Anolis sagrei: one gene and its partner. The protein of the gene in region 1 interacts with the protein of each later gene in a pairwise test. Links are inferred from orthologs where the notes say so. Each region holds a gene or a part of one and is shown in the gene's direction. Other genes may lie near its edges. The genes, in order: POLI and REV1.

Region 1 (16,460 bases):
AAAGATCCACTTTGAGGGGAGAAATTCTTACCAGTGGAGCAATGCTTGCCCTTCGCCTGCCCGGCATCCTCATACCCAAACACACTTTTCTAGCCATTCTTTTCTAGTTTAAAGGATTGTGCTGTGACCATTATCTTTTTGCTTTATTACCCCAGGAATAAACTTTTTTAAAAAGTCACCTCTTCAGCTCTAGTTCAGCAGTTCTTTGTCATCTGTGAACGGAATTTCCCAGCTGTTCTGGAAATCACATTCTGCCTGTTTATATGAATGAACTAATCAATGCAGTATATCATCCAAAGTTCTGGAACTACTGAGCGTGGGAGAAGGAACTGAAAACGAACACATTCAAGGAAGTTAGCAAAGAGTTGCCTTTCATGTGTTGTTGAAGGCTTTCATGGCTGGAATCACTGGGTTGCTGTGAGTTTTCCGGGCTGTATGGCCATGTTCCAGAAGCATTCTCTCCTGATGTTTTGCCAACATCTATGGCAGGCATCCCCAGAGGTTGTGAGGTCTGTTGGAAACTAGCCAAATCGAGTTTATATATCTCCAGGGTGGGAGAAAGACCTCTTATCTGTTGGAGGCAAGTATGAATGCTGCAACTGATAACCTTGATTAGCATTGAATAGGCTTGCAGCTTCAAAGTTTGGCTACTTCCTGTCTAGGAGAATCCTTTGTTCGGAGGTGGTAGCTGGCCCTGATTATTTCTTGTCTGGATTTCCCGTGTTTTTGAGTGCTGTTCCTTATTGACTATCCTGATTTTTTTTTTTAGTTTTTTAATATTCGTAGCCAGATTTTTTTTGTTCATTTTGCTTCCTGCCAAGCTTTGAAGCTGCAAAGCTATTCAGTGCTAAACAAGGTGATCAGTTGCTACATTCACACTTGACTCAAGCAGACAAGAGTTCCTTCTCCCACCCTGGACATTCCTCAGATACATAAACCCCACTTACCTAGTCTCCAACAAATCTCACAACCTCTGAGGATGCCTGCCATAGATGTAGGCGAAGCGTCAGGAGACAATGCTTCTGGAATATGGCCATACAGTCTGGAAAGCTCACAGCAACCCAGTTGTCTTTAAGTTTCATTTTAGATGTGTTTTAAAACTTTTGGGTCCATGCTCTTAATATAAGTATAATATTTTAAATAAAAAATAAATAGTTGTGAGAAATGACAAAAAAAATTGATATAGGTAAGTATGGCGCCTGTATCCACAGCATTTGCATTGGATACACTAAAAAAAAAAGGAAATCAGTAAAGCCAATTTAAGGGAAGGACTTCTGGCCCAAGAATACAGTCATACCAGAGGATTTATACAATGCCTGGAGAGAACATACTTTGCTGAATGCGGATAAATGAAACTGCATGTATCTGCTCCATGGGTGCAAGTGTTGTACTATGTATCTTTATGATGTTAAAACTTCATTAAATGTCAAAGGCTTTCATGGCCGTAATCACTGGGTTGCTGTGAGTTTTCCAGGCTGTATGGCCATGTTTCAGGATAATTCTCTCCTGATGTTTCGCCCACATCTATGGCAGGCACCCTCAGAGGTTTTGAGGTTTGTTGGAAACTGGGCAAGTGAGGTGGGAGAAAGAACTCTTGTCTGCTTGAGGCAAGTGTGAATGTTGCAATTGATCCTCAGAGTTTGCCTCGCTACCATGGCTCACAACCTCTGAGAATGCCTGCCATAGATGTGGGTGAAACATCAGGAGAGAATGCTTCTGGAACATGACCACACAGCCCGGAAAACTCACAGCAAACCAGTTCATTAAATGTTGATAGTTGAAAACTTTCGGTTTCTGTTTTTTCCTGAGAGTGTCATAAAGGCAAAGTCCATGTTTGCCAAAGGCATAGCTTGAAACTCCATGCCTTCCTCTTCTCCAAAACTCAAATTCCTAAGAAAGCCACATAGCAGAAGTACAACAGAAAGAAGGGTAGGGACTCAGATGTTTAGAAAGTTACTAACCATGGACTGTAGGCTATGGATCACAGTTCCCAGTATTCCCTCCGGCCAGTATCTTTACTGGGAAAATTCTGGGACATGTAGTCCATAGGCCCAGAGCACTGTGGCGTACTATAAAGACTGGGGTGGAAATCACGTAGTCCTCCAGAGACTGCTCAGGCATTTCTCCAAGTCATTACTCACTAGTGGCTATGTTTGTCAAAGAGATTGGAAGTGCATCTACACTGCTGAAGTATCCAACGTTTTTGCTTATCCAATGTTCTGCCAGCTCACTTATGTTGGATAAGTGAGACTCTACTGTATCCTGTTTTACCCAACACCAACTGCTAGGCATGACCCCAACCACCATCAACTATGGGACATTACAAGACCATGTAAAACTACCACTCCCACAATTCCATAGCATTGAGCCATGGCAGCTAAAGAGTTGTCAAATTGCATTAATTCTACAGCGTTTCTCAACCTAGGGGTCGATACCCCTGGGGGGCAGTCGTGACGGGGGTTTCATAGGGGTAACCAAAGACCATCAGAAAACACATATTTCTGATGGTCTTAGGAACTCCTTTGGCAGAGAAGGCTAAAGATCTCTCCACCTGTCTTTCTCTTCCTTTTTGGAACCATATGACAAATCCTTCCATCAAAAGCCCTTCTCCTGCTATGATTGTGGGGAAACTATAAATCCCAGCAACTACAACTCCCAAATGTCAAGGTCTATCTTCCCCCAAATGCACCAGTGTTCACATTTTGACATACTGAGTACTCGTGCCAGGTTTGGTCCAGATCCATCATTGTTTGAGTCCACAGTTCTCTCTGGATGTAGGTGAACTACACCTCCAAAACTCAAGGTCAATGCCCACCAAACCCTTCCAGTATTTTCTGTGGGTTATGGGAGTTCTGTGTGCCAAGTTTAGTTCAATTCCATCGTTGGTGGAGTTCAGAATGCTCTTTGATTGTAGGTGAACTATAAATCCCAGCAAGTACAACTCCCAAATGACAAAATCAATCTCTGCCCGAACCCCACCAGTATTCAAATTTGGGGGTATCAGGTATATGTGCCAAATTTGATCCAGTGAATGAAAATCCATCTTGCATAACAGGTATTTACATTACAATTGATAACAGTAGCAAAATTGCAGTTATGAAGTAGCAACAAAAATAATGTTATCGTTGGGGGGTCACTACAACATGAGGAACTGTATTAAGAGGTCGCAGCATTAGAAAGGTTGAGAACCACTGGTATAGATGCACCCTGGGACAACATACGATTTCTACCTTTAATCTCCCTTGTTACGGTCCTAAAGCAAGGATAGACGACGTGTACTTGCAATGCAGATATAGTTGGACTGCAATTCCCATTATCCTTCATTATCTACTCTTGTTTGCTAATGGAGACAACTCCAACAACATTGGTGAGCTACATGTGACTTAACTACTGGTACAATGTGATAGAGGTTGCATCCCTTAAACTGGAATGTAGCAGTTGGAGGAGATGCCCAAACATTTGCTAACAAGTTTCAACATGCACACCAGGCAGCAAAATCTTGTTGAATTAATTAAAAATATGACTCAGGAAACATACAACACATCATGCTTTATTTTAAACATGGGAGTTTATTATTTCAGTTTATGATTTCAGCTCATCCAGCTACATCCATAGATAATCTTCTTTACATTTATTTTCCAAAAGACCAATGTATTTTTGGACTAATTGCTCTAGACTCTCAGTTAACCAGAAAACAATCAACCAGAACTCTCAAGCAACAGGCAAAAACATCAAAGAATTTTTTTTGTCATGTCAGGAGCGACTTGAGAAACTGCAAGTCGCTTCTGGTGTTAGAGAATTGGCCGTCTGCAAGGACGTTGCCCAGGAGACGCCTGGATGATTTGATGTTTTTATCATCCTTGTGGGAGGCTTCTCTCATGTCCCCACATGAGGAGCTGGAGCTGATAGAGGGAGCTCTTCTGCCTCTTCCCAGATTCGAACCTGCGACCTGTCGGTCTTCAGTCCTGCCGGCACAGGGATTTAACCCACTGCGCCATCGGGGGCTCCTATCAAAGAAATAACAACATTTAATAAAAATGCCATTTTTATAATATAGTAAAACAGTATATTAATCTTTATCTCTATTTTTCTTAATTTGCTTTTAAATACTGTATTTCAGTATCAATATCAAGTCAATACAGAGTTTATAATATGGTATGGTACATCTATTTTTAATAGTAACTCACAAGGAACTAGAAACTACATCTATCTAGCACAGTGTTTCTCAACCTGGGGGTCGGGACCCCTGGGTGGGGGTCACGAGGGGGGTGTCAGCGGGGGTGCCAAAGACCATCGGAAAACACAGTATTTTCTGTTGGTCATGGGGGTTCTGTGTGGGAAGTCTGGCCCAATTTTATCGTTGGTGAGGTTCAGAATGCTCTTTGATTTTAGGTGAACTATAAATCCCAGCAACTACAACTCCCAAATGTCTATCTTCCCCCAAATGCACCAGTGTTCACATTTCGACATACTGAGTATTCATGCCAGGTTTAGTCCAGATACATCATTGTTTGAGTCCACAGTGCTCTCTGGATGTAGGTGAACTACAACTCCAAAATTCAAGTTCAATGTCCACCAAACACTTCCAGTATTTTCTGTCGGTCATGGGAGCTCTGTGTGCCAAGTTTTGTTCAATTCCATCGTTGATGGAGTTTAGAACACTCTTTGATTGTAGGTGAACTATAAATCCCAGCAACTACAACTCCCAAATATCTAGGTCTATTTTCCCCCAAATGCACCAGTGTTCACATTTCGCCATACTGAGTATTCATGCCAGGTTTGGTCCAGATCCATCATTGTTTGAGTCACAGTGCTCTCTGGATGTAGGTGAACTACAACTCCAAAATTCAAGTTCAATGCCTACCAAACACTTCCAGTATTTTCTGTCGGTCATGGGAGCTCTGTGTGCCAAGTTTTGTTCAATTCCATCGTTGATGGAGTTTAGAACACTCTTTGATTGTAGGTGAACTACAAATCCCAGCAACTGCAACTCCCAAATGACAAAATCAATCTTCCCCCAAACTCCACCAGTATTCAAATTTGGGCGTATTGGGTATTTTTGCCAAATTTAGTCCAGTGAATGAAAATACATCCTGAATACTAGATATTTACATTACGATTCATAACAGTAGCAAAATTAGAGTTATGAAGTACCAATTAATTTTATGGTTGGGGGTCAACACAACATGAAGAACTGTATTAAGAGGTTGTGGCATTCAGAAGGTTGAGACCCACTGATCTAGCATCTCCCAATCCCCATGGGTGACGGCTGACTAAGAGTCTACTGTATGTATTTCAACTGTCTTCTTCAAGTGCCACATACAATCAAATAGCAGAAATTCCATTTACTAGACCAGAAAAGAAATGGCTAAGATCTCTTAAGTCCCAAGGAACACAGAAAATGAGACACAGCCCAGATCCCGGCCATAGAAGGCTTTAAAGGTCATCGCCAGAGTTTCAATTGTTTGGAGACGCAATGGCAACCAGCCCAGTTGTTGCAACAATGAGGTTCTGTGCTCCAGCGGTGACATAGGCAGGCATGAATTACGTGTGAAATGTAATTTATGTCTGCGCAATGTGCATGTCGCTAACAGGATGTTAGGCCTATGAGTACAAATGCCAGATACTCTGACGGAGGGGAAACATTCCATCCATTTCGCACTAAAAATTCTCTTCCGAAAAGATTTCCTGTCTCTCCAGATTATTTCTGTTTTTATACTAATGGGAGCATTTTTATTGTAGAATTAACACATTTCAACTGTTATGGCTCTCAATGCTATACGAGGGTTGAATGAAAAGTAATGCCTCCACCATGCTTTGGTTACATCCCGTTTAGATTACTGCAACGCTCTCTACGTGGGGTTGCCTTTGAAGACTGCCCGGAAGCTTCAACTAGTCCAACGCTGCTAACAAGAGCGGGGTACGGGGAGCATACTACTCCTCTGTTGCGCCAGCTCCACTGGCTGCCAGTTAGCTTCTGGGCACAATTCAAAGTGCTGGTGTTAACCTATAAAGCCCTAAACGACTCCGGCCCAGTTTACCTGTCCGAACGTATCCTCCCCTATGAACCATCAAGATTGCTAAGATCGTCTGGAGGGGCCCTGCTCTCGGTTCCACCGGCCTCACAAGCACGTCTGGTGGGGACGAGGGACAGGGCCTTCTCGGTGGTGGCCCCTCGACTCTGGAACCCCCTTTCACTGGAGATCAGAACGGCCCCCTCTATCTTGACGTTCAGAAAACAGGTGAAAACTTGGCTCTGGAAACTGGCATTCGAAGAATGAGTCAAGTTCTGTGATATGGGTGGATGATTTTATGATGACGACTGACCATTGTCATTATATGTTTGTATTTTGTTTTTAATGTCTTAGTGTAATCTAGAATACGATGTTTTTAATGATTGTTTGTAATATTGATGTTGGAAACCAGCCTGAGTCCCTCGATGGAGGTGAGAAGACTGGTATACAAAACTGCTAAATAAATAAATAAATAAATAATACATTTCTGAGTGATACGAGGATCGTCCTGAATCAATCTGTCAACCTTTTGCTTGTGAAACTTGGTGGTTTCTGTCACAGGACGTCTAACTCTTTGTTTGTCATGCAAGTCAGATGTTCCCACCTCAACATCTTTAAACTTACTCGCCCAACGATGCACAGTACTCACATCAACATAATCACCATACACAGCTTGCATTCTCCAATGAATTTCTTTTGGAGTGACACCTTCTGCTGTCAAGAATTCAATGACTGCACGTTGCTTAAGTCTGCGCAGGGTTCCATAGTTCACCTTTAACAACACAACTGTTCAATGCTAAGGCTTCCCACTAAAATGGAACTGTAGAGGAGAGTTTACTGAGCAAGCCAGTACCTGCCGCATACCAGTACTGCCATCTGTTGAGGAGCTATGAAGGTGGAGGCATTACTTTTCATTCAACCCTCGCAGATCAGGCATGGGGGCCAACTTGGGCCCTCCAGGTGTTTTGGACTTCAACTCCCACCATTCCTAACAGCCTACCGGCTGTTAGGAATGGTGGGAGTTGAAGTCCAAAACACCTGGAGGGACCAAGTTGGGTCATGCCTGGATATAAAGCCATGGGAGTTGTAGTTTTACAAGGTCTTTAGCCTCCTATGCCAAAGAGGGCTGGTGCCTCACCAAACTACAACTCCCAGGACTCCATCGCATGGATCCAGGGCGTTTTAAGTGATGTCAGAGTGCACCTAAAGAAAGGGCACATTCTCATTCACACGAGACGCCCGTGACACGCGTCATGGCCTGGGCGGAGAAGGGCCTGCCTGAACGGTCTTCACTTGGTCCGTCGCTCCTCCTTCCAGGGAAGCTGACCTCGCCATTGGCCAAGACCAGGGCAGGCGAAGAGAGGCGGTGTTTGGTGCCCGAAATGGAGGACGAGGAAGAGGAGGAGGAAGAAGCGGCATGGTTGCGCCCAGACTCTCCCTCCGGTGCTGCGAGGAATCCTCCCCCTGCCTGTAAAGACCCTCGACTCCTTTTAGCAGCCTGGGAGGAGGATTTGGGAGTGAAAGGCTCGTGGGAACCGAGGCAGGAAGGCACGGAAAGAGCGCACAGGAGGCGCCTGCGTTTGTTTGGCTGACTGGCAACAAGCTTCCCTTTGTGTTGCAACTAGCTTCCCTTTACACCTGGAACAGGCCTGCGCAAACTTTGGCCTTCCCTCCAGGTGCTTTGGACTTCAACACCCACAATTTAGGAATTGTGGGAGTTGAAGTCCAAAACATCTGGAGGGAAGACCAAAGTTTGCCCAGGCCTGGTGTAGAATCAAGCCAGTTTGATGCCACTTGAACTGCCAGGGCTTATGCCAGTGATTCTCAACCTTCCTAAAGCTGTCACCCCCTCAATACAGTTTCTCATGTTGTGTTGACCCCCAATCAAAAAATTATTTTCATTGCTACTTCATTGCTGTAATTTTGCTACTGTTATGAATTGTAATGTAAATATCAGATACTCAGGATGTATTTTCATTCACTAGACCAAATTTGGCACAAATTTCCAACATGCCCAAATTTGAATACTGGTGGGGTTGAGAGGGGATTGATTTTGTCATTTGGGAGTTGTAGTTGGCAGGATTTATAGTTCACCTACAATCAAAGAGCATTCTGAACTCCACCAACTATAGAATTGAACCTAACTTGGCACACAGAACTCCCATGACCAACAGAAAATACTGGAAGGGTTTGGGGGGGAGTGACCTTGAGTTTTGGAGTTGTAGTTTACTTACATCCAGAGAGCACCGTTGACTCAGTCATGGATCTGGACCAAACTTGGCATGGATACTTAATATACCCAAATGTGAACACTGGTGGAGTCTGAGGGGAAAATAGGCCTTGACATTTGGGAGTTGTGGTTGCTGCGATTTATAGTTCACCTACAATCAAAGAGCATTCTGAACCGCACAAATGATAGAATTGGGCCAAATTTCTCACACAGAAACCCCATGACCAACAGAAAATACTGTGTTTTTTGGTGGCCTTTGGTGACCCCTCTGACACCCCCTCACGACCCCCCCAGGGGTACCGACCCCCAGGTTGAGAAACACTGGCTTATGCTATGGGAGTCTGTGATGTGTACGGCCAGGGATCTACTTTTGCTGGGGTTTGGGGCAGTTTTTCACATTCACCTAGGTCTTATGCCCCACACCCTAGCAAATGTGAACCTGCAGAGCACAGTCCAGAGTGACTCCCAGGTGTTTGCATGTGCAGCAATGCTCCGAGCTCAAGATGCTTGCCTGTTCTTAAAATGAAAAGCACACATCTGGATTTTAGATGGATTAGGAATCGGCTGTTTTTCCTGTAATAGGCAGTAAGAGCACCTAAAGCTTTGGAGAACTTCTGTTCAACCATTTCAAAGCTCCCTGCTTGAGTGGTGATGGCATGATCGTCACATGTTGGCCCATGCCTGATGTAGAATCAATCCAGTTTGATGCCACTTCAACTACCATGGCTCATGCTTTGGAAGTCTGTGATGTGTACTGTCAGGGATCTACTTGTGCTGGGTTTGGGACACAGGTTTTCACATTCACCTGGGTCTTATGACTTGCACCTAGCAAATGTGAACCTGCATCTTCAAAAGGGACTGTATCCCCATCCAGTGCTGGCTTGAGATGCTTGTCTGTTCTTAAGATAAAAAGCACACATTTGCATTTTAGATGGATTAGGAATCAGTTGTTTTTCCTGTAATAGGCAGTAAGAGCACCTAAAGCTTCTGAGAGCTTCTGTTCAACCATTTCAAAGCTCCCTGCTTGAGTGGTGATGGCATGATCGTCACATGTTGGCCCATGCCTGGTGTAGAATCAATCCAGTTTGTTGCCACTTCAGCTACAATGGCATATGCTATGGAAATCTGTGATACGTATGGTCATATCTACTTTTGCTGGAGTTTGGGGCACACATTTTCACATTCACCTGGGTCTTATGCCCTGCACCCTAGCAAATGTGAACCTTCATGTTCAGAAGGGACTGTAACCACATCCAACATTGGCTGAATTCGTATTCTCATCAGTCTGCCTTTTGACTGACCACGACTGCCTTGATCTTACCTGGATTAAGTTTCAATTTCTTCATCCTCATCCAGTCTATTACTGATGACAGGTACTGGCTTGGATCCAAGTCAAAAGCAAGACAAATTGTGTTAGACTAAATCAGTCCTACCATATTATTTATTTATCATGTCAGAAGCAAGTTGAGGATACAATTAAAATGCATCTAAAAAGACAAACAAGGTTAAAAAAAACTTGGCATTACACTAAATGTCCTTTGACCAGAAGCCGGCCACTTGGAGTACCTCTGGTATTGCCATGAGAAGGTCGTCCATTGTAGGTAGTCTGTGGTTTGCTCTTTTCCAAACTTGTATGTTGTGGACTCCATTTTGTAGCCCCATTTCTTAAGGTTATCTCTGCATCTCGTGGTATTAGAGAGCTATCTGTTCAGCACCTTCCAGGTCATCTTCTCTTCTATGTGCCCAGGAGGGAGTCTCTCATTTGGTATCAGCCACTGATTGAGGTTCCGGGTTTTAGTCTGCCACTTTTGCACTCTCGCTTGCTGAGGTGTTCCTGTGAGTATCTTTCTCGATCTCAGGAGGCTGTTTTTTTATTTAAACCAATAGCATGCTGGGCCGGAAATGTCAATGCCTTGGTCCTTTCATTACTAGCTGATACTTTCCGACAGATGTCCAGTGGTGCAATACCGGCTAAACTAGTGGTTCCCAACCTTTGGTTGTGATTTGGATTTCAACTCCCAGAAATCCCAGCCAGCTTACCAGCTGTTAGGAACTGTGGGAGGTGAAGCCCAAAACACCTGGAGGCCCAAAGGTTGAGAACCACCTTTGAATTCCTGTTTTCAGTCTGCCTTTTGATTAACCATGGCTGCCTTGATCTAGATTAAGTTTTAGTTTCTTCATACACATCCAGTCTATTACTGATGACAGGTACTGGCTTGGAACCAAGTCAAAAGTAAGACAAAGTATGTTAGACTAAAACAACCCTACACTGACTTTATTTTATCCTACTGTTTTTTTTAAAAAAAACCTTTGATTTCTTGTAGCACGGCTGCTAACTCCAAAGAGTTTCTGAAACTCAATGGGCATTGCAGCTAGTGCCCATAAGGACTAATAGGGCAGGATGGCGGATACATGGGAAACCCAAGTTGATAATAGTGCCACCAGATCTTTCTGGTTTGGTACTCATCCTCTCTTGCAATGAGACCACAGTTGTTGTTTTACGTTTGCAAGCAGGCTTTGACATACAGCAGCCCTTTGAGTTTGGGAACTCCAGGAGCATCAGTTATCAATAAACGTACTCTGGTGTTGCAAATGATGGCTTCATTTATTGAAACCCATCCACCTCCACATTTGCAGATTTAAATCTTGTGTATTTGATTATTTACGCATTTGACAAATATCTTCTCTTTTGGTCCATCATAGTGTCTCTTTGGTCAGACTGATGGAAAATGACCATGGAGTTGCACTAGAAGACCAATAGATAATCTGGTTCGGGCCCAGGCTATTTGACTAATTGTATCTCCGCCTATAAACCAGCAGAGGCTGGATGGCCATCTGTCAGGGGTGATTTGAATGCAACATTCCTTCTTCTTGGCAGGGGGTTGGACTGGATGGTCTCTTCCAACTCTTTGATTCTATGATTCTATGGAGATGGTGGTCAGTGGAGGAGGCCCTGCTCTCGGTCCCACCCCCATCCTAAGCATGGCTGGTGGGAACGAGAGAGAGAAAGGGTCTTCTTTGTGATTGCCCTCCCCCCCCCCCCCCACACACACACACCTCTGGAACACCCTCTCTAAAGAAATAAAGATGCCCCCTTCCCTTCTCTCCTTCAAAAAACAACTGAAAACTTACTTTTGCTTATTAGCATACAGAGAGGAGGAGGATTAGATGAGGATATGCCTCTACTACACCTCTGATTGAGATCTGTTATTGTTCTCGGGCTTTGTAGACCCTGTCAGCCTCATTAACATCACTGGCCACATAACCTACTTACATATTTTAGTGAACGTTTATTGGTCTCTGTAAACTGATGTGGATGTTTGATGTTCTTGTTTTAGGTTAAATATAATTTAGCTGATAGGTTGCATTTTGTTTAATTTTTGTGTCATGTTATGTTTTTATACAGTATGTTGGGTTATTTTGCATTGTTATGTTTGTATTTGTTGTTGTATTGAGGCATTGAATGTTGGCCTTTTGATTGTTGGAATCTGCCCTGAGTCCCCTTGGGGAGATAGGGTGGAGTATAAATAAAGGCTTATTGTTGTTGTTGTTGTTATTATATGGCAGTGTAGAAGGGGCCTCAGATGAAGGTTTTTTATTTGTAGTTTTTCCACTTTCAGAGGGGTCCTGTTGACCAAAATCCCAATTAAAGTGGAGGTCTGCTATATATCCATGTGCAATAACCTGAGATTAGTTATTTGGCTTCTAGTGCAAGATCTGACTTGATTTCCTCACAGACTCATTCTTTGCCTTTCTGGTAGTATTATATCTGTTGAGGTTTCCTCTAGTATTACATTTTAGATGAACACAACTACTGTAGTTCAACTCCTTTACTCTAAATGTCTGAAGGGCAGTTTCTCATGTTGGTCCCAAAAGCTTCCACAATATTGTACTTGTTGTTCATTCATTCAGTCGTCTCCGACTCTTCGTGACCTCATGGACCAGTCCACGCCAGAGCTCCCTGTCGGCCGTCACCACCCCCAGCTCCTTCAAGATCAGTCCAGTCACTTCAAGGATGCCATCCATCCATCTTGCCCTTGGTTGCCCCCTCTTCCTTTTGCCTTCCACTTTCCCCAGCATCATTATCTTCTCTAGGCTTTGCTGTCTCCTCATGATGTGGCCAAAGTACTTCAACTTTGTCTCTAGTATCCTTCCCTCCAGTGAGCAGTCGGGCTTTATTTCCTGGAGGATGGACTGGTTGGATCTTCTCGCAGTCCAAGGCACTCTCAGAACTTTCCTCCAACACCACAGCTCAAAAGCATCGATCTTTTGATATTGTACTTACTTTTCTGTATTATTGAGGGAGGGTAGGTAACCTGTGTGTATTCTAGTCTTGGCATTTCAGTGCACAGTCTGCAATATACTGGTATACCTAGTGAGATATGAAGATTTGTGGGATTGGGTCATGGGTGGGAAAAGCATAGCCCATGGGTCACATACAGTCTTTGGGGCCCCAAATTGTGCCCCCTAAAGCATATAAAAGCCCGCCCACCCCCAAATTTAATTTGTAATTGGGGTGATTTCTGAACTATTACCTTTCATTGTAGCTTGTCATGGCAAATGGGTGTCAACAGAAGGCTCCCAGAACCGAATCATTGTGCATCTGGATTTGGACTGCTTTTATGCGCAGGTGGAAATGATCTGCAACCCTGAATTAAAAGGCAAACCTTTAGGTAAGCTTACATTTTGTTGAATATTCTTCCAAAGGGCACCTCTGTCTTTCCAGGAGAATAATTATAGAATCATAGAGCCAGAGTTGGAAGGTACTCCCAAAGACCATTTAATACAGTGTTCCTCAACCTTCCTAATGCCGCGGCCCCTTAATACAGTTCCTTATGCTGTGGTGACACCCCCCCCCCCAAACCATAACATTATTTTGTTGCTGCTTCATAACTGTAATTTTGCTACTGTTATGAATCATAATGTAAATATCTGATATGCCGGATGTATTTTCATTCACTGGACCAAATTTGGCAATATTATTATTATTATTAATAATAATAATAATAATAATAATAACACACTTTATTTATAACCTGTCACCATCTCCCCAAAGGGGATTTGGGGCGGCTAACATGAGGCCAAACCCAAAATACGCCCAAATTTGAATACTGGGGCAACTACAACTCATTTGGGAGTTGTAGTTGCTAGGATTTATAGTTCACTCACAATCAAAGAGTATTCTGAATTCCACCAATGATGGAATTGAACCAAACTTGGCACATAGAACTCCCATGACCAACAGAAAATACTGGAAGGGTTTGATGGGCATTGACCTTGACTTTTGGAGATGTAGTTCACCTATATCCAGAGAGCACTGTGGTCTCAAACAATGATGGATCTTGACCAAGCTTTGCACAAATACTCAATATCCCCAAATGTGAACACTGATGGAGTTTGTGGAAAATAGACCTTGGCATTTGGGAGTTGTAGTTGCTGGAATTTATAGTTCACCTACAATGAAAGAGAATTTTGAACCCCAGCAACGATTGAATTGGGCCAAACCTCCCACACAAAACAGAAAATACTGTGTTTTCTGATGATCTTTGGCAACCCCTCTGACATCCCAACCCCCAGATTGAGAAACGCTGATATAATACAATTCTCTGCTAATTTAAGAATCCACAGCCAAAGCATCCCTGAAAGATGACCATCCAACCTTTGCTTTAAAACCTCCAATGGAGGAGTGTTCACCACCCTCAAAGTTGAACTATGCCATGTTCAGACAGCTCTTAACATCTTTAAATTATTCCCAAGGTTTTAATAATTTCTAAGCTATTTTTATCTCCTTTCCAGTGGAACCCATACATTTGGATAGAACCATCTGCTGCTTTGGTGGATTATTCACTCTCATTTGTTAGTATTAATTACACTTTTTCCTATACACAAGAACTTGGTTATCTTTCCTATCCTCCTGACATTCCCCTTGTAGCCTACATTTGTTGTCGTATGCCTTCAAGTTGAAAGATATGTCAGGATGTGCGAAATTATAGATTTCCCCCCTACTTAATTGCATATTTGTCTCTTTCAGGTGTACAGCAGAAATACATTGTTGTCACCTGTAATTATGAAGCCAGAAGCTTTGGGGTCAATAAACTCATGTCTGTGAAAGAAGCAAAAGAAAAGTGCCCTGACTTGTTGCTGGTTAATGGAGAAGATTTGACAAAGTATCGGGAAATGTCTTATAAGGTTACAGGTATTGCCTCAGTCGTCGTTATTAGTGCATAATGGTAGAGTTCCTTGCTTCTTCTTTTTTCCTGGATGTATAGGGCCATTCCACATAGCCATATAACCCAGAATATCAAGGTAGATAATCCACAGTATATGATTTGAACTGGGTTATCTGAGTCCACACTGCCATATAATCCAGTTCAGTGCAGATTGTATACAGCTGTGTGGAAGATGCCATTGTTATATCTGTCCCAGAGGCTTAAGCCATAGGTACATTTCTTAGGCCCCTTCCACACTGCCCTATATCCCAAGATCTGATTCCAGATTATCTATTTTAAACTGGATTATATGAGTCTCTACTACCATATAATCTGGGATGTACAGATAATCTGGGATCAGATGCTGGGATATAGGGCAGTGTGGAAGGGCCCTCTGTCTCTTTATTTGGAGCTTGACCATAACGCAGTGGTGGAGCATGTGCTTGTATTCATAAGGTCCCAAGTACATTGCTCACAATCCCTTGAACTTCAGGCGTCTAGGTTCTAGTCCCAGAGTCTTTTCCTGGTTTTGAAAATGAATGTCACAAGAGACAGAGCTTAACAGTTAGTGTTATTGGCTGTGAGGATGTTGAGCCTGAAATGTGCATTTTTTCAGGTCTGAGTTTACATCTGGATATCTGGGGCCAAGGCCAGATACCTGGTAACTTGATCAATGAGCACATCTGCTCATTGGTGAGCATAATGAGGAGCACTAGGAAAGCTGCCATGAAATTTTTCATGCTAGGTTGTGGACAGCAGTGATCCTATCTAGTGAGCCAGGAGCCAAGGGATGGAGCTAGTAATTAGCACCAGAGGACAAACCAGGAGACAGAATTGAGAAAGAAGGCAGAAGTGAAAAGGCTACATCAAGACAGGAGATTCATGGTATAAAATCCCACGAGTTGTAGTTTTACAACATCTTTAGCCACCTCTGCCAAAGAGTGCTGGTGCCCCACCAGTCTACGAATCCCAGGATTTCATAACATTGAGCCATGGCAGTTAAAGTGGTGTCAAACTTTAATTCTACAGTGTGGATGTACCCTTCCCCTGTCTTCAGAAAAGGATTCCATAACAGATGTCTAGAGATCCTCAGTAGACTTGAGAACAGAAAAAAATCTTTCTTTCTGTCTCCTGATAGGAAATATGAATTTTGGCTCTGTAGTGAGAAAAACTGAAAATCCTCATATCTTTTAACTGCAGTTTAAGCTACCCTGTTTACTCAGAAGTTGTGTTCAGCAGGGTGTATTTCCAGGAAAGTGGGCATAGAGTTATAGCCGTATAATATGAGGGTTGGAACTTTAATAGTGGCAACACTTCTGTAAAGACGTCACACAACGAAACCAAAGGATGTAACATATACCACACATTAGTTACATACCTACCTTACCTCTGAGCAAAAAGACTTGCCCTTTTTACGTCACGCGCATGTGGAGTGATGCAAAGAACTGAGTTTCATATTAGCTTGTGGTCTAAAGTAAGTGTTGAGTGTTGTCACGATGTTTTCGAAACAAGAACAATGGAGTTGGATAAAGATTGAATGTGTCTGAGGTCGTACACATGACAGTGTCATCAAGGCCTTCAAGAGGCTTGCAGGGAATCTGCATTGCCTTACAGAACATTGGCAAGGTGGGTAAAAGTCTTCAACGCAGGATGCCAAAAATGTGGCAGACATGCATCGGCCAGGTTGTCCTAGTGTCAACGAAGCGGAAGTGAATGCTGTTGCCGCACTCGTAGACAGTGATCAACACCATATGATTCGTGAGCTGGCCCAAAACACAGGATTTATGCATACAACTCTGCTCCACATTCTGAAGGAATGCCTAGGCATGAGAAAAATTGCTTCACGATTGGTTCCACATCATTTTTCGGAAATGTAGTAATGATGCTACTCGTACCCACTTGAAAATCTATGAGCGCGAAGGAGAGGCTTTCTTATGCCGTATCATTATACTGGATGAGACTTAGGCCAGATCATACCAGCCAGAACTGAAACGCCAATAGAATGAA
Region 2 (16,829 bases), on another chromosome or scaffold:
TATTGCCCACTGTACTGAAATAGAAAAATGTTTGTGCATTAGGAGTATCATGCCTTTATGTGGTCTAGAAACATTTGTAACATAGGGCCCTCCACATAGCCATATAACCCAGAATATCAGGGCAGAAAATCTCACAATATCTGCTTTGAACTGGGTAATCTGAGTCCAAACTGCAATATATTCCAGTTCAAAGCAAAAAATGTGGGATTTTATTCAGATGTGTGGAAGGGGCCAATCTAATTTTTCTGGAAGCTGTCTGCATTCTTTGTCAGCAAATGTGTTTCTTGCGGGAATGCAATGTCAGTCATTTTACAGATACAAATATAAATAGCCTCCAAAAATTGGGCTGGTGAGGTCTATGTTACAAATGTTTCTAGACAGTGTTACACATACGTTTGAAATCTGAGACTAGAAACGGCTGTCTGCTATGCTGAGAGTAACTTAATTCAGTAAACAATAATATCGGTTTGGTTGTGAAAAAACTAACTAAAAACTGGTGTGGAGCCCTGAAGTTCAGCCTTGGGCTTGGTTTTAAGATTAGTAAGAAAAGATTTTTCTGCCAGAGCCAAAGACATAAAATATAATCAGATACTTAATGTGATACTTTAAATTGAATTACCTTTCTGGGATGTTTGCTTTGGTAAATTGTCTCTTCCAATCATTTATCTCCTTTGTATAATCAGGAAAAATCGCCCTATCTCATTTCAACTATAACATTCCCTATTGTATAGTAATTTGAAGCAAAAAATCTCATGTAGCTGCATGGAGCAAATGAACAACAAACTGACTACGACCAAACCATCATTTACAATTGGAAGCTCAACAGCCTCTTTCAATTTCTAATTGAAAATCAGAAGGTGAAAGCAAAGGCAACAATTCCAGTAGAAATTCCAAATCTTTCATGCCAATGATTGATAGGTTAACGCGACTCTAGCGGAGAAATCCAGGCAGACAAAAGGCTCTCTCTTGGAAGCATTCACAGTTGCTGTAACCCTCTTTTAGAGCCCCAGGTTTTAATTCAGTGATCTATATACAGGCTAGCAATGCAACTCATTGACTCTTGGATTTCCTTTACAGACACAATTAAAGGTTGCATAGATAATGCAATTGGTTTCAGCTCATTGAGTTACCTTGTTGCATGGTAAACATCTGTTCCATGTCAGCTACATTCCTTGGGTTCTTCCTAGGAAATTTGATTCTTCCAAGGAACAATTAACCCATCAAAACAAGCTGGATTTCTGCTGCAAAGTCTACCTGGCTCCTGAGCAGGGAATAAGTGCCAATTTGTCAAGCTTCAAGCAGCCAATAAGTGTTTTTATGTGATGATTAAAAATATCTACACTGTAAAAACAGGTAATGTATAAGCCTCCAAGTAGCCTTCCATGTCTGTGAGACAGTAAATCTTTCCTGGATATTAGTCTGGGGACTCGTCCAGACAATACCTTTATCCCAGGAGCTTCCGCAGCAAACAGAAAGGGGACCAGATGCTGTTCCCTGTAAACGCGAAAGCAATTGCTACAAGAGGCAAAAAGCATGAGATTTTCAGGAGTGGGAATATCATGATTTTGAGCCAAATATGCAGATCTTCGCATGTCTGTATGTCCCTGCAATCTGAAATCACGGGATTTTTTATCTGGGTTTGTTCCTGGGTTTTAGATGTTTGTTCCTGATTTGTTGGTTCCTAGAATGAAGGTGATACTTGAGTAGAAGGCAATAACTTTGTTTGTGTGCAAGATACTTCATGAAATGTGTGGAGGGCACCTTTTCTCTGGCCACAACAAAATTGTGGCTCCCTAGTCAATGTTGTACATCTTTTCACAAGAATTGCAATCAGGAACAGACATATATAACCCAGGAACAGCACCCTGTTGTTTGATGTCACAAGTACACAACCAAATCTTTCTGGACAAATGGCCAAGCAGCCAGGCTCTAAAAAGTGTCAATAATGACAAAGTTCTGTTCCTGGCTTGAAAGTGTGTGTTGCTGTTTGATTGTGCAGTGGTGGGAGAGCTGCAGTACCTTCATCCAATGCAGCTCTGACTTCAACAGACCACTGAGACCCCAATGAATTACAGACCAGGACAAAACTTGGCACACAGAACCCCAATGACCAATAGAAAATACTGGAGGGGGTTGGGGGAAATTGATAGTGAATTACAGGAGAGGTAGTTCACCTACATCTGGAGAGCACTGTGAACCCAAACAACTATGGACCTGGACAGAACTTGGCACAAACACTCAATATGCCCAAATCTGAAGACTGGTGAAGTTTGGGGAAAATAGACCTTGGCATTTGGGAGTTGCTGGGATGTATAGTTCCCCTGCCATCAAAGAGCATTCTGAAACCCAACAACAATGCAATTGAACCAAACTTGGCCTGCAGAACTCCCATGACCAATAGAAAACACTGGAGAGGTTTGGGATTCTGAACTCCAACAATTACCATAAATTGGACCAAACTTGGAACACATACTGATATGCTGAGATTATTGGAGGGCTTTGGGGGGAACTGACCTTTGTTTCTGTGAGTTGTAGTTCACCCACACCAGAGAAATTGACCTTCCCCGATGATGGACCTGGATCAAAATTGGACAGCAAGAGCCAGCCCATATGGGGAGCCTTCTGCTTAACCCCCACCCCTTCCGAGCTCACCAGGGGGCGAGGGTCGAAGGTCTCAAAAAATGGTGTACCTTCTCCCTTGTGTGCCTTTGCCTCTAAGCTCCTCCTCCTGACTCCATGCAGCCCTGTGGGAAGAGGAGGAGGAGGAGCCGACCTGGAGTACCTGGCTGTTTGGCAGCCATTTTGAAGAGGGGGCGGGGCTAACCAAGGTGCCTTCGCAACCCCTGGAAAATGGCCAAACAACCCCCCTGGGGGTCGTGACCCCCAGGTTGAGAACCACTGCTCTAAATCTTGCAACAAAGCATCAAGTCTGGACAACAGAAGCAGAAATTCCAGTACCAACAGGTCTGTATGTTGACCTCTTCTGAAGTCCCAGGATTTTTTGCCCCCGTGATTTAGTGCTGTCTGAAACTGCCCTAAGTCTAGGTTTTAAATAAGCTATTCAAAGAATTAAATGCTTCCCTTTCCCTGTGTTCATAACTTTGGATAGCTTATTTACAGTTCTCACTAAAATGCACAGAAGATTCACTGTACTGTTGATAGAGAAGCCACCAGATACCATGAGGACTTGGTGCGCCTAGAAATATCTTCATACATTTTGCTAACCCATACAGTTCCTGGGATGCTTTTTCCCCACACATTAAATACATCCTTCTGCAAGAGTCAGTGGCAATTGTAACAATGATCTGATGTTGCCTCAAATAAAATCACACCAACACTCACAATAGCATATTCCAAAATGAATTTGAAACTTTCTATGTTGATAACTGATTCTACAGTATAAGCTACTATGTTGTTTTCTTGTTGACTTTCTAAACGTTTGCTCCCTGCAAACTCTCTCTCTGCCCATTAGATGTCAGTAAAAGCCAGTTGCATCCAGAGCAGACATCCCTCGTGCTTTACTTTCCCTGACAGCAACAGTGTGTTAAACATAGATTATCCTTGCACTTTAATCCCCAAATGTATCCATGTCTAAAGTGAGTCACTGTAGCAGACAGCAGCTATGAACGTCCTGTAATGAATGATACCGATAAAGCAGGTACAGTGCGGCAAAGCAGAGGCCTGGCGTTGCATGCAAACTCTAGGCTGTGCCTGCAATGCAGTACTGTCTTGTCTCAGACATGTGAGCAGAGCAGACCAACCTTAGTGTTATACACAATCCTACTAATGTGATCTCTCGACCCATTATAGTCAGCTGTCAATGCTATCGATCAATGCACATGCAGGATTGACTCTAAACGCAGACTCTGCAGTGTTATTATTTTTGCTTTTGTTATTTAATCCAGGAATCCATGTGTACACAAATCACAGAACAGATCAGATAATTTAGCTTTCTGATTAGGCATCTGTTAGCATTTCAGAATCATGACAATGAAACAGATTTATCCTTGAGAACATCTTTGCTTCTATAATTTGTAGGTGCTGCAGATCATTTTAAGAGGCACTGAGCTATAATTTGGACATATCAAATATGAAGAATCCAGTCCAATCAGAGAGTCTTCTCACGTTATAGGATTATAGCACTAGGATTCAACATTGTTGCTGATGTATAAGGCCATTCTGGCCTTTCTGAGTTCCCTTCAGGATAGAAAAGGGCAGGATACAAATGTTGTAAATAATAAATAAATAAACTGCCATGGCAACATCATATAAATCTTGGTATTTGCAGTTTAGGGAGGGGTATTTGGCATTCTCAGTCAGAGAATTCTACTGCTTCATCAAACTGCAAACCTCAGGGTTCCATGGGGTACACCTATGACTGTTAAAGGGGAACCATAGTGTCATAATTGTACAGTGTGAAAGGGCCCGAAGAAGATGGCATGGCTGCACCTCAGCCACCAAAGTGCTACAGTCATGCAGTGGTCATTTGTGCAAAGTAAGTCTTCACACCCAAATGATGAATCGCCACCTTTCCGCTCAGTGTCCAATTGCCATGGGAGAGGGGAAAGACAAAGATAACCATGTTGTGCAGGGACCTCCTAAAGCTTTCATTTAATGTGGCAACAGGCACAGTGATATTGTTGCTGCAATTTACAATAACAGCAAACCTGCCTTAAATTAATTCAGATTACTGCTGGTCTGTAGAAGCACCCCCCCCCCCCCCGGTGGCACAATGGGTTAAACCAGTGGTTCTCAACCTGTGGGTCCCCAGATGTTTTGGCCTTCAACTTCTAGAAATCCTAACAGCTGGTAAACTGGCTGGGAATTATGGGAGTTGTAGGCTAAAACACCTGGGGACTGGGTTAAACCACTTGTGCTGGTTGAACTGCTGACCGAAAGGTCAGCAGTTTGAATCCGGGGAGCAGGGTGAGCTCCCACCTGCCAGCTCCATCTTTCCATGTGGTGACATGAGAGAAGCCTCCCACAGGATGGTAAAACATCCGGGTGTCCCCTGGGTAACATCCTTGCAGACGGCCAATTCTCTCACACCAGAAGTGACTTGCAGTTTCTCCAGTTTCTCCAGTTGTTCCTGACATGAAAAAGAAAATATGCTGGTCTATCTTTCCAACAAGCAGAAGTTTTCCAAGGACTCAGGAAGGCCCTTTCCCCAAACCTACTACTTGAAACAATCATGTAACTGGTGAATTGGGAACAGATTCTGAGATCTACAAACTGAAATGTCACCAACTTGTCAAAGGTCAATTTGTGGTTTGCTGTTGGATAACCTTCAAAGATGTCAAAGATGTCAATGGTAGAGTTGTGCATGTATAGTTATATAACCAAATGTTGTATGATATATGGCAATCAAATGAAAATTATATTTGAATACAGCTGACATTTATATGTGTGAACAAAAAAAAACTGCAACTGTTATTCTGTATGCACACAGTTTTAGAAATAATTCTGCATTGTTTAATACAGGCTTTGAGTCATTTGATACAATTGCCCTGAAACAGGCAAGTTTGTGGTTTCTAGGAGATCCACTAAACTGGAGGCATTCAAATAATTAGCAAAAACACCCACCTTGAAACATGATGAAGTGGACCAATGTTCACAAAACAGGATGCTGAATACAATTTCTCTTCTGAATGAGAGACCTCCAAATCATCTTAGCATCTACAGCTTTGCTCAGACCCCATCCATATTGCATTCTAAAATTCAGATTAATTGTATTATAGAGTAGCATAGACCCATATAATGCCATGGGAGAGGGATAATCTGGGTTTTGTATGGCAGTGTAAATGGGGCCTCAGGGTTCCCTGATTGCATCTAATCATCTAGACTAGGCATGGTCAAATTTAGGCTTAAGTGGCTGAGGGGGGAAAGGAAAGGGCCTGAGGCTGTTAGGAATGGTGGGAGTTGAGAGAATAGTGTCAGTGTTTTGCTGTGAGTTTTCCGGTCTGTATGACCATGTCCCAGAAGCATTCTCTCCTAACATTTCTCAACCTCTGAGGATGCCTGCTATAGATGCAGCAGAAACGTCAGGAGAGAATGCTTCTGGAACATGGCCATACAGCCTGGAAAACTCACAGCAACCCAGTGATTCTGGCCATGAAAGCCTTTGACAACACAATAGTGTCAGTGTTTATTTATATTTTAAAGGCATTCTCCTACTTTTTCGAATTGCAAAGTCTTTTATGATTGTTGTTGTTTATTCATTCAGTCGTTTCCGACTCTTCATGAACTTATGGACCAGCCCACAACAGAGCTCCCTGTTGGCCATCACCACCCTCAGCTCCTTCAAGGTCAAGCCAGTCACTTCCAGGATGCCATCCATCCATCTTGCCCTTGGTCGGCCCCTCTTCCTTTTTCCTTCCATTTTCTCCAGCATCATTGTCTTCTCTAAGCTTTCCTGTCTTCTCATGATGCGGCCAAAGTACTTCAACTTTGCTTCTAATATCCTTCCCTCCAATGTGCAGTCGGGCTTTATTTCCTGAAGTATGGACTGGTTGGATCTTCTCGTAGTCCAAGGCACTCTCAGATTCTTCCTCCAGTATCAAAAGCGTCTATCTTCCTTCGCTCAGCCTTTCCTAAGGTCCAGCTCTCACATCCGTAGGTGACTATGGGAATACCATTCCTCAGGCCTGTAGCCAGGATTTTGATTCGGGAGAGTGGGGGGGGAGGGCTGAGTTTGATTCGGAAGGGGGCTGAGTCTGAGTGAAAGAGGGTCTACCCTAGCAAACCTTTTGTATCGTTACCCCAAAACCCCCATGCACATGGGATATATTGAGCATGGTGATCAGATCATGATATGAATAAACATAACAGTTTAAATAATGTACCAGTAAGGCCTTCTCGCGGACCACCATGAGAATGGGGGGGGGGGACTGAAGCCCCTCAAGCCCCCCCCCCCCCCCCGGCTACATGCCTGCCATTCCTTTAACTATGCGGATCTTCTTTGTTGCCAGTGTGATGTCTCTACTCTTCTCTAATTTATCAAGATTGGTCATTGCTCTCCTCCCAAGAAGGAAATGTCTTCTGATTTCTTTTATGATCTTTTGTTGTTGTTTAACCTGGCTCTACTCACCATTTGCAGTTTTGCAAGGTAAGTCCAGCAATGGCAAAAGTCCTCTTTATTTGATGCCCTATTGCACGGGTTTATTTTGTGTAAGGATTAGTCCAGCCCTGCCTTTTTGGGATGTCACCCTCCAAGGAAGGAAGCCCCGCCCCCAAACAGTATTCCGAATGAAGCCGCGCCAGACTCTCTCCGGCTGCAGTTCTCCGGGCCCCGCTAGGGGTCGCTGTGCGCAGTGTGTATCTATAGCCATCGGGTCTATATATAGCACTCCCCTCAGTGCGGCGGCGGCGGGGCTGGCCCTCTTCCTTCGCGACCGGGGAGATCAAGCAGCGCCGTCACAAGGACGCCACCGCCTCTCTCCCTCTAGAGGGCGCTGCAGTGGAGGCAAGGAAAAGGGAAGCGAGCGAGGTAAGGACACGGGGGCGTGGCTTGCTTGTCCGTCTTCACCAGACGTCACGTGACGCTGGGACGCTTCAGAGGGGGTTCCTTCCTTCCTTCCTTCCTTCCTTCCTTCCTTCCCGCTTTCAAAATAAAATAAAGAAATAAATAAATAGGGGAGGAGGTTGAAAAAAAAAAGGAGGGAAGTTCTCTCGCTCGCGGTTGCCGTTGGTAGCGCCCGCGAGCCACTAGGGGGCGCGCGCTCTTCCTTTTTTCTCTCTGTCTCTCTCTCCAGGACTAAAACGGCAGCTGGTGCGCGCGACGAGGGAGGGAGGGAAGGCGGTTGGTGGCGCGAGGCTCTCCTCCGCGCGCCGTGCGTGACGCGGTGTGTTCTGAGGGAAGGAAGGAAGGTCGGCGGCGGAGGGGGAGGGGGAGGAGGCGGCCGAGAGGGCTGTCGGCGGCGCCTGAGAGGAGGAAAGAGGCGGGACGCGATGTGAGGATCCGCGGAAGGCGGCGGCGGCGACGCCCCAGGGACGCGGCAAAAGGTGAGGCGCCTTGACAGGAGCGAGGAAGGAAGGACGGAAGGAGGGAGGGAAACCGCGGCGGAGCTCGACTCCCGTTTGGCCGCTCCTGAGGCGGAGCAGGCCCCAAGCCCTCCTCGCGCCTTCCCCAGGGCCGGCCGCCCCATAATCGTGTGCTCTTGTGTGTATATGAGAGGCATGGAGGTGTCAAAGCAGGGGAGGACCGCCTCAGACATAAGGCGGGACGGAGGAGGCAGGGTGGCCCAGCGGTCAGGCAGAGAGCGCCTTCCGCCCCCGGGCGCGTCGTCTGCAACCCGGGCACGTCCCGGGAACCATGGCGGCCGATCGGTGCCCGTGGCTCCTCCGTACAACCTTTGCCTGCAGCCTCCCTGCCTGGACTGACAGGCAGCTGGAGTGGTGCACTGGGCCACCTCAGGAAGTGCGGGTTTTTAATGGAGTCTAGAGCCCCTTCCACACAGCCCTACATCCCAGAATATCGAGGCAGAAAATCCCACATTATCTGAGTGTGGACTCAGATAACCCGGCACAAAGTAGATATTGTGGATTTTTTTGCCTTGAGATTCTGGGATATAGGGCTGTGTGGAAGGGCCCTCAGATAACCCAATTCAAAGCAGATATTGTGGGATTTTCTGCCTTAATGTTCTGGGATATAGGGCTGTCTGGAAGAGGCTTAGGAGGCGTTGTTGTTATTGTTGTTACAAATCTTTATCCTCTTCTCTAGGCTCTCCTGAATCAAGCCTGGCTTGGCATTTCTAAGATATGGAAGGCTAATTCTAAGACCACTGTAAAACCTGAATTATCCTTTAGGGTGTGCGTGTGCATCAGAAGCAACTTGAGAATATACTGCAAGTCGCTTCTGGTGTGAGAGAGTTGGCTGTCTGCAAGAATGTTGCCCAGGGGACACCAGATGTGTTACCATCTGGTGTCTTCTCTCATGTCCCCACATGGGAAGATGGAACTGACAGATTGGAGCTCACCCCATCTTGCAGATTTGAACCACCGACCTCAGGTCAGCAGTTCAGCCGGCACAAGGGTTTAACCCAGGCATGGGCAATCTTTGGCCCTCCAGGTATTTTGGGACTTCAGCTCCCACAATTGCTAACAGCCTCAAGCACTTAAATGGCTGAGGAAGGGGCCTGAGTCTGTTAGGAATTGTGGGAGCTGAAGTCTAAAACTTCTGGAGGGCCGAAGTTTGCCCATGCCTGGTTAGACCTATTGCACCACCAAGGCGCCATATCCTCTGATGACGAGCCTACTTTACATAAAACAGGATATCATAACTGTGCTTGGAAAATTGAAGGTGTCAAACTAAGTAAAGGATTTTTTCAAAGGATTTTTAAGCTGGAAAATGTAAGGAGAAAATAGTCATTACTCTGGTTAGAAGTTCTGTGGAGCTGGTCTTGGAGGATAAGAGCACAAGTCAATCATCTCTGCATTTAGGAGCCTATGGGTTTGCATATTTCAGTCCCTTCCTTCTAACACAGTGGCTCCCAATCTTTTTTGTCCAGAGACCACTCTCCAACATTAGTACCAAAAGGGTTATGAATCAGTTTTCGGTCAACTTAAGTTTCAGTTTGGTTATTTGGAGTGCCAATCCAGAAAATTGCATTGGATAGACCACATCAGCTCTAGTTTCTGATTGAGAACGAATGCCATCTGCTCACCCATAGAAAACCATATAGCCTCACCACTATAAGAGGGTTTTGTGAGACTAGTCACTCTTGTTGCAACAGTGTAGTAACGGTGAAGCCGCGGACCATATTTTAGTTCTTGTGGTTGGGAACCGCTGTTCTAGCAAGAGGGTAAATAAAGCATTAATGTGAATTATTCTTTCAGGACAAAAAGATCAGACAAATATCTTGGTCCATTCCCTTTTTGCTTACTCACCAAGAAGTAGATTCATAGATTGGATCGAAACCACAATGTATTAGACGCTGTAGTATCTGGACACTGTTGTTTACTTTAACTTTGTTAAAACAAAGAAAACGGCTTCCACATACATTGTTGTCTATATTGTCTTTGAATAATTGCCTATATGTAAGCCACCTTGAGCCCCCTTCAGGGTAGGGAAAGATGGGGTATAAATAGGGTAAATAAATAAATAGACTTTTTCCTTGACATTGTCCTTTTTCCCACTGTAATAGAGGCCCCCATCTTTTATTTGCTGGGCTTTGTGTGGTTTACTGAGAAACAAGGCCCATTGTATTCATTGAGACTTAAATTCCTTATGTTTCTATAAGATTGTCTTTAGGCATAAACCCTAGTACTAACCTGTCATTATTTTTAAGGAAGCTGTCAGTGAAATTACATGCTGCTTTTTCCATTCTTGGTTCAATCTCTTCTTTCAATGAATATTTTGCATTGTCACATTCTCAGTATTTGGGATTTCCAGGGTATCAAATGAGCATGCCATTTTAAAAAAAATAACTGTAATTTTAAAAACAGCTTGACATTAATACTGTAGCATAGTCACCCCTTTACTTGTGTAAATCTTATGTAAAGATAAGCTTTAAAGTATTTAAGCACAAACATTGTCCTGCTTCTGAAATGGTGTTATTTGGAATGGGATCCCATGTAGGGATATGTTGATCAGAACTAGCAATGTAGCACAATACATTTAAGCCAGGTATGCCTTCCTTTGAATGTGAGTTGTGTGATGTTCCACACGTGTACCAGTCCTCTCTGAGCAAGGAGATCTCAGCTGCATGATTCACCCCAATAACATTTAAGTTTTCTAGAATCAGTGCATGTGGAGTCTTCTTTGTTCAAGAAAGCCTGTGCACAGTGAAGGACCACTGCGACCCAGCCTCCAACTGTAGGCAGTTGAGGTTCACAGTTCTGGAAAATGTTGTAAAATGAAGAAATGTGAGAGAGATCATTGCAGTTCATTCACAAAGTCAACTTTGAAACTAGCAGATTCTCCTGGGATAATATATTCTTCTCACACATTCTGTGATAGTTCATTTATCTCATTCAGGATATTTGAATAATTAGAACAAGTTTTGTGTATAGCCACTGTTAATAATACAATTGTACTTTCCACCTGTTATTTCCTACAGACTTGCCTGTAATCCCACCCCCAATAGAAACATGAAATTCTGGATAACAGGAGTGCTACTCAAGGTTTACAGTTCACTTGGTAAAAATAGTTGTGAGCTCTGATTGATGGTCCTTTTGGAGATGATCCTTCCAATCTCAAAAGCACACAAAATGGAGGTGACATGTTTTATTAATTATAATAGATTTGCCTTTTACTCGTATGGAAAAGAAGAGAAATCCACATATACAGCAAATTATGAAAGTGTACTTGGCTACAAAATTACCCCTGTAGATTTTGATGTTTTATACACAAACCCAATCAACTCTCTATCTTCCCCCAATCTTTCCTTAGAATGTGACTGGAAAGTGAAAAGAAAAGAAGGGGAGGAAGACATTCATTACTCTTTTCTATAACACCTTAGTGTCCTTTGCCCCATATGTCACCTTTCGTTCACACGAAAGGTGACTTACCCAGTAAAAGCTATGGCATTTCCTCTCTCTTCATGGTTTGCATGCTTCCTCCCAACCATACCCTTAGTGGGTTGTTGTAGGTTTTTCTGGGCTATATGGCCATGTTCTAGAGGCATTTTCTCCTGACGTTTCGCCTGCATCTATGGCAAGCATCCTCAGAGGTAGTGAGGTCTGTTGGAAGTAGGAAAATGGGTTTATATATCTGTGGAATGACCAGGGTGAGACAAAGGACTTTTGTCTGCTGGAGCTAGGTGTGAATGTTTCAACTGACCACCTTGATTAGCATTTAATGGCTTGGAAGTGGCTGGGGGGAATTTTTTGTTGAGAGTGATTTGATGTGCCTGATTGTTTACTCTCTGTTCTTTTGCTGTTGTAATTTTTTAGTTTTTTAATACTGGTAGCCAGATTTTGTTCATTTTCATGGTTTCTTCCTTTCTGTTGAAATTGTCCACGTGCTTGTGGATTTCAATGGTTTCTCTGTGTAGTCTGACATGGTGGTTGTGAGAGTGGTCCAGCATTTCTGTGTTCTCAAATAATATGCTGTGTCCAGGTTGGTTCATCAGATGCTCTGCTATGGCTGACTTCTCTGGTTGAAGTAGTCTGCAGTGCCTTTCATGTTCCTTGATTCGTGTTTGGGCGCTGGGTTTGGTGGTCCCTATGTAGACTTGTCCACAGCTGCACGGAATACGGTAGACTCCTGCAGAGGTGAGAGGATCCCTCTTGTCCTTTGCTGAATGTAGCATTTGTTGAATTTTCTTGGTGGGTTTGTAGGTGGTTTGTATGTTGTGTTTCCTCATCAGATTCCCTATGCGGTCAGTGGTTCCCTTGATGTATGTCAAGAACACTTTTCCTCTGGGTGGATCTTCATCTTTACTCTTGTGGCTTGTTCTTGGTCTTGCAGCTCTTCTGATGTCTGAGGTGGAGTATCATTGGCCTGTAGAGCCCAGTTTAGGTGGTTCAGTTCATCTTGGAGGAGGTGGGGTTCGCAGATTCTTTTTGCTCATACCCTTAGTGTTTCTTCCTCCTGTTGGACTGCAGAGTACCTGCAGATAATACCTGCTGATTTTATGTCACATAAACAGAAATAAAGCTGTGTTCCATAACAGAAACAAATATAATTTACCTAATGTTATATAAAGTGGTATGTTAACTAAATAAGTTCTGAAGTCTTTCTTATTTCTTTACTATTTATTATCTACCCACCTTTTCTGGCCTCCCTTAGCATTGACAGTGCCAGTGAAAGATAGCACTAACCTCTTTCCAACCAGTGTTTGACTTGGTGGACATTCCTCAATTTCTGTAGGGAAATCCCAGCAGTATGATGTACAGAATGAATGTGGGAGAGCCTCTGCATTTGTGTATCTGTCTTTCTTCAAGTAACCTGTCAAATTATAGTGATATCAGGAATTTCATAGGATTTTCTTAGGCAAGACATACTCAGAGGTGACATTCCCAGTTCCTTACTCTGCAATTTAGCTTACAGGACCTGACATTCATTGGTGGTCCTTCATCCAAATACTAAACAGACTTAACTCTGCTTACCTTCTAGTTTCATACATAATCTTTTTGTAGTCGCTCACAATTTTTCTCAATTGGGCACTTAGAAGACCTCTTTAAAAGCTGCTGAAAGTTCATATGCTGTGGTAAATGCTTTTGAAATTGAACAGACTGTAAACCAGGGACCATATTTATATGTTTGACAAATGGTGGACACAAGATAAAGATAAGATTTTTCTCATTTTTCTTAGGGGATTTATAGAATTTGTTTTTCCAAAGTAACTAAGAAGGGAGAAAAATCTTATCCAAGACTGGGGTGGAGATCTGGTAAAAAATTATTTAGTATAGCCTACTTCATGGAGGCATTGGGAAAAATAATAAGCATGCATAATTCGAATGTTTTGTAGGATGAATGATTTCAACTGTAAAAGAATTAGATAAAATAAGCAATTTTTAATAGATATTTTAGGATATGGTATATAAAAATCACAGTCATGGAAGGCCATCTCTATACCGTTCATCTGAATTCTTGTTTATGGAGCTTAGATTATTTGACTTTATAAGGGGTTAATATCAGGCAGGTTGTGGCAAGACTACACTTTCTTGTTTGGCTCCCTGGGGAAACCATAATTGATCCATTTTCCATCATGGATTTGGAAGCTGTCAATATCAAATTACTAAAGTGATAGAGAAGTGACACAACCTTCATTCTGCCCTGCTCATCTTTGTGGGTTGTTGTAATCCCTACTTACAATCAAGGAGTTCAAGGTCCTGATAGATGTTTTGCATGAATCCTCAGATAGAAATGGCAGGAGATGTTGATTCATATAAAGACATCGCATTATGTATGTATAGGCAAATAGAAATGTTCCAAAATAAAAATAAAATAATAATATCAAAACATTTCTGGTCCCAAATATTTCAGATAAGGGATACTCAACCTGTGTAAGCTTATGCAATGTGTCTTAATATATAAGCTTTGCCAAGACTTACATAATAAAGAATTGAGCAATAGTGTATGCCATAATAGTACCGTCGTTAATTTTAAGGTGCTGAAGTGCTTTGTTGTTGCAGGTGTTCATACTTCCTTGTGGCTGAGGGAGGGCAAGGGAATTAATGAGTGTACAGAAGATAAGCCCTGTGGGATCTTCATGACTCTTCCCAGTGTACATTTCCTTAACGATATTTATTTCAGTGTCATAGTTTTATGACTTTGATTATCATAAGATTTTAACATTGATTCCAGTCTTTTCTCTTTTCACCTTATATCATTAATAAACAATTGTTAATTGAGGAATGGTATCAAGTTTATCTTTGCCTGCAATACAACAATGAGGCCCCTGAACCCACCAAAAACATCACTGCTCCCCCCCCCCCAAACGTCCGAAGCCCACCAAAAATTTTATTAACTTTTGTTGCAGTTTGCACCTCAAAATTAAACCCAAAGCCTCCCAAAAACAAATTCCTCAAAACCCTCTCCATCTTGCCACAGAATCTACCATCTGCTCCAAAATGGTGATGGCAAGTCATCTGATGTCACCCCTGGTCACAATTTTGGAAGACAAAGCAGGGAAGCCAAGGTATTTTGGTGCGCACTTGCAGGGCAATTTTACCATGCTTTTGCTTCCCCTGAGCAGCTTAGCAAGGTTGGGCAGAGAGAAATCAAATCCAGGAGTCTTGGTTTTAAAAAAGTATCTTGAGTTAAAGTAGCCCCTGGAGAAAGCCAAAATCAAGCAAATTTGCCCCCATACTATAAGTATAGGTCCCCCTGGTGGTGTAGCAGGTTAAACCACTGAGATGCTGAATTTGCTGACCGAAAGGTTGACAGTTCAAATGCAGGGAGTAGGGTGAATTCCCTCTGCTAGACCCAGCTTCTGCCAACCTGGCAATTTGAAAACATGCAGATGTGAGTAGATCAATAGGTACGGCTTCTACAGGAGAGCTTACAGCACTCCATGCAGTCATGCTGGCCACATGACCTTGGAGGTGTCTACAGACACCATTTGGCTTAGAAATGGAGATGAGCACCACCCCACAGAGCAGGACACGACTAGACTTAATGTCAGGGTAAACCTTTACTTTTCACTTTTATAAGCATAAGGAAGCATTTTTCATTTTAAAAAACACAAATATTTAACCATTTTTAAGATGAGGTTGCAGCCTCAAGGGCATATTTAGCCCCCAGAAATTGTATCCCCAGGTTTAAAAGTTTTCTAAGGAATTTTCATACATGTGAATTAATATTTGTGAACAGATAGCTAGTGCACTTACTATCATATAAAGTCTTTCCAGTATAAAGATTTCTAGAACTAGCGTTATTTTTTATTTTAGAAGTGATACTGAAAATAACCTTTTGTATTATTTTTTTTCCTTCCTAGTTAGAAGCTTCATTATGAAGCAAAGTGGTTGGAGAAAACGTGCCAGTGACAGAGATGGCTGGGGAGCCTGGGTATGTTCAAGCTGATAATGTTCTAACAAAATTATAGATGTAACTTTATAATTGCATGCTTTTCAGTGGTGAGATGATTTTAGCATAACTGTTTTATTGCTACAGTGTAGCCAAATATTATTATCCTTTGACTGACTAGAACATGATGTTAATCCATTCATTTTAGTTCATGTGAGAAATCTGATTAGGAAAATGCCTTGCATTAATATTCTTACAGGTTTTCTGAAGCAGCTTAAATTGTGTGTGTTTCATTTACATACACGCACACACACACGTACACAGTATATGTGTGCAGTTGTTTCATTTACACACTTTAGACCAAATAAAGTTTTCCACAGGAAAAGCTAAATATATATCAAGTCGTTTTCAGTGGCAGTTGATACCATTATCACTTGCTATCTATGTAAACAATATCTTATCTTTTATTTAAAAACAAGGGAGGATATATGTCTGCCAAGGTTCAAAAACTGGAGGATCAGTTCCGTTCAGACGCAGCTATGCAACTACAAAAAGATGGAACTTCCTCTGGTATCTTCGATGGTGTTGCTATTTATGTCAATGGTTATACAGGTGATATTTTATTTTTCTCATTTAGCTATTTAAACCTCAAGTTAAACAAAAATTATGGAGTGAAGCAGTGAATGAGAAAGTCTGTAGGGAGTTTCTCAAGTCACTTCTGACACGATAAAAGAAATGAAAATACAAGCAATTTTAAGCTATGAATTTTAAATGTACATTTCATTAATATCAGTGTTCTAATCTTATTTTGTGTTTATCTGTATTTTATGTTTTTTTATTTATCTCCGTTTTAGCCATGTTGTCTCCTCTCTTTGAGCCGTGAGGAGAGGTAGATAACAAATAAATTTTAGTAGTTGTAGTTGTAGTCATGGTAGTATTGTTGGCTGTCACAGTCAGAGGTTTAAAACATTGTCCTTTTTATTTACTGGAATTATGGTGGTTTTAAATTTGCTTGATGTTTGAATAGTAGAGAAAGCTAAAGAATGCCATGAGCCATAACTGTTAAAGTTATATCAAATTACATTAATTCTACAGTATAGATGCACCCTCAGTGGCTTTATATCCCCGACTTGGGGAAAAGGCAGGATATAAATAGTAAAATGAATTGATAATGAACGATAATGAACTGACCCGGCGTGTTTTTAATAATTGTTTATTTGATGTCTTTTTTTAATGAATCTGTTGAATGTTTTTATAATTGTGATGGCACTGAATGGTACTTGCTGTGAGGCCACTCTGAGTCCCCCTTCGGGGGTGAGAAGGATGGGTACAAATGCACGAAATAAATAAATAAATAAAACCAATGTAAAGTACAGATGAAGACAGAGCATGCTGTGGAGAGTACAGAAAGCTAAAT

Evidence for each region.
Region 2: the proteins of POLI (region 1) and REV1 interact in a two-hybrid assay, tested with the Homo sapiens proteins (2 studies listed by BioGRID). The link is inferred for Anolis sagrei from reciprocal best matches to the Homo sapiens genes POLI and REV1.

The regions. Positions count from the first base shown.
Region 1 is NC_090022.1:284,988,266-285,004,725, reverse strand, and holds the start of POLI (DNA polymerase iota), read left to right. Parts: upstream 1-7,259; 5' UTR 7,260-7,267; coding exon 7,268-7,484; intron 7,485-12,791; coding exon 12,792-12,917; intron 12,918-14,275; coding exon 14,276-14,440; intron 14,441-16,460. UniProt on the Homo sapiens protein: Error-prone DNA polymerase specifically involved in DNA repair. Plays an important role in translesion synthesis, where the normal high-fidelity DNA polymerases cannot proceed and DNA synthesis stalls. Favors Hoogsteen base-pairing in the active site.
Region 2 is NC_090023.1:102,769,188-102,786,016, reverse strand, and holds the start of REV1 (DNA repair protein REV1), read left to right. Parts: upstream 1-7,619; 5' UTR 7,620-8,001; intron 8,002-11,057; 5' UTR 11,058-11,214; intron 11,215-14,497; 5' UTR 14,498-14,585; intron 14,586-15,383; 5' UTR 15,384-15,397; coding exon 15,398-15,454; intron 15,455-15,891; coding exon 15,892-16,024; intron 16,025-16,829. UniProt on the Homo sapiens protein: Deoxycytidyl transferase involved in DNA repair. Transfers a dCMP residue from dCTP to the 3'-end of a DNA primer in a template-dependent reaction.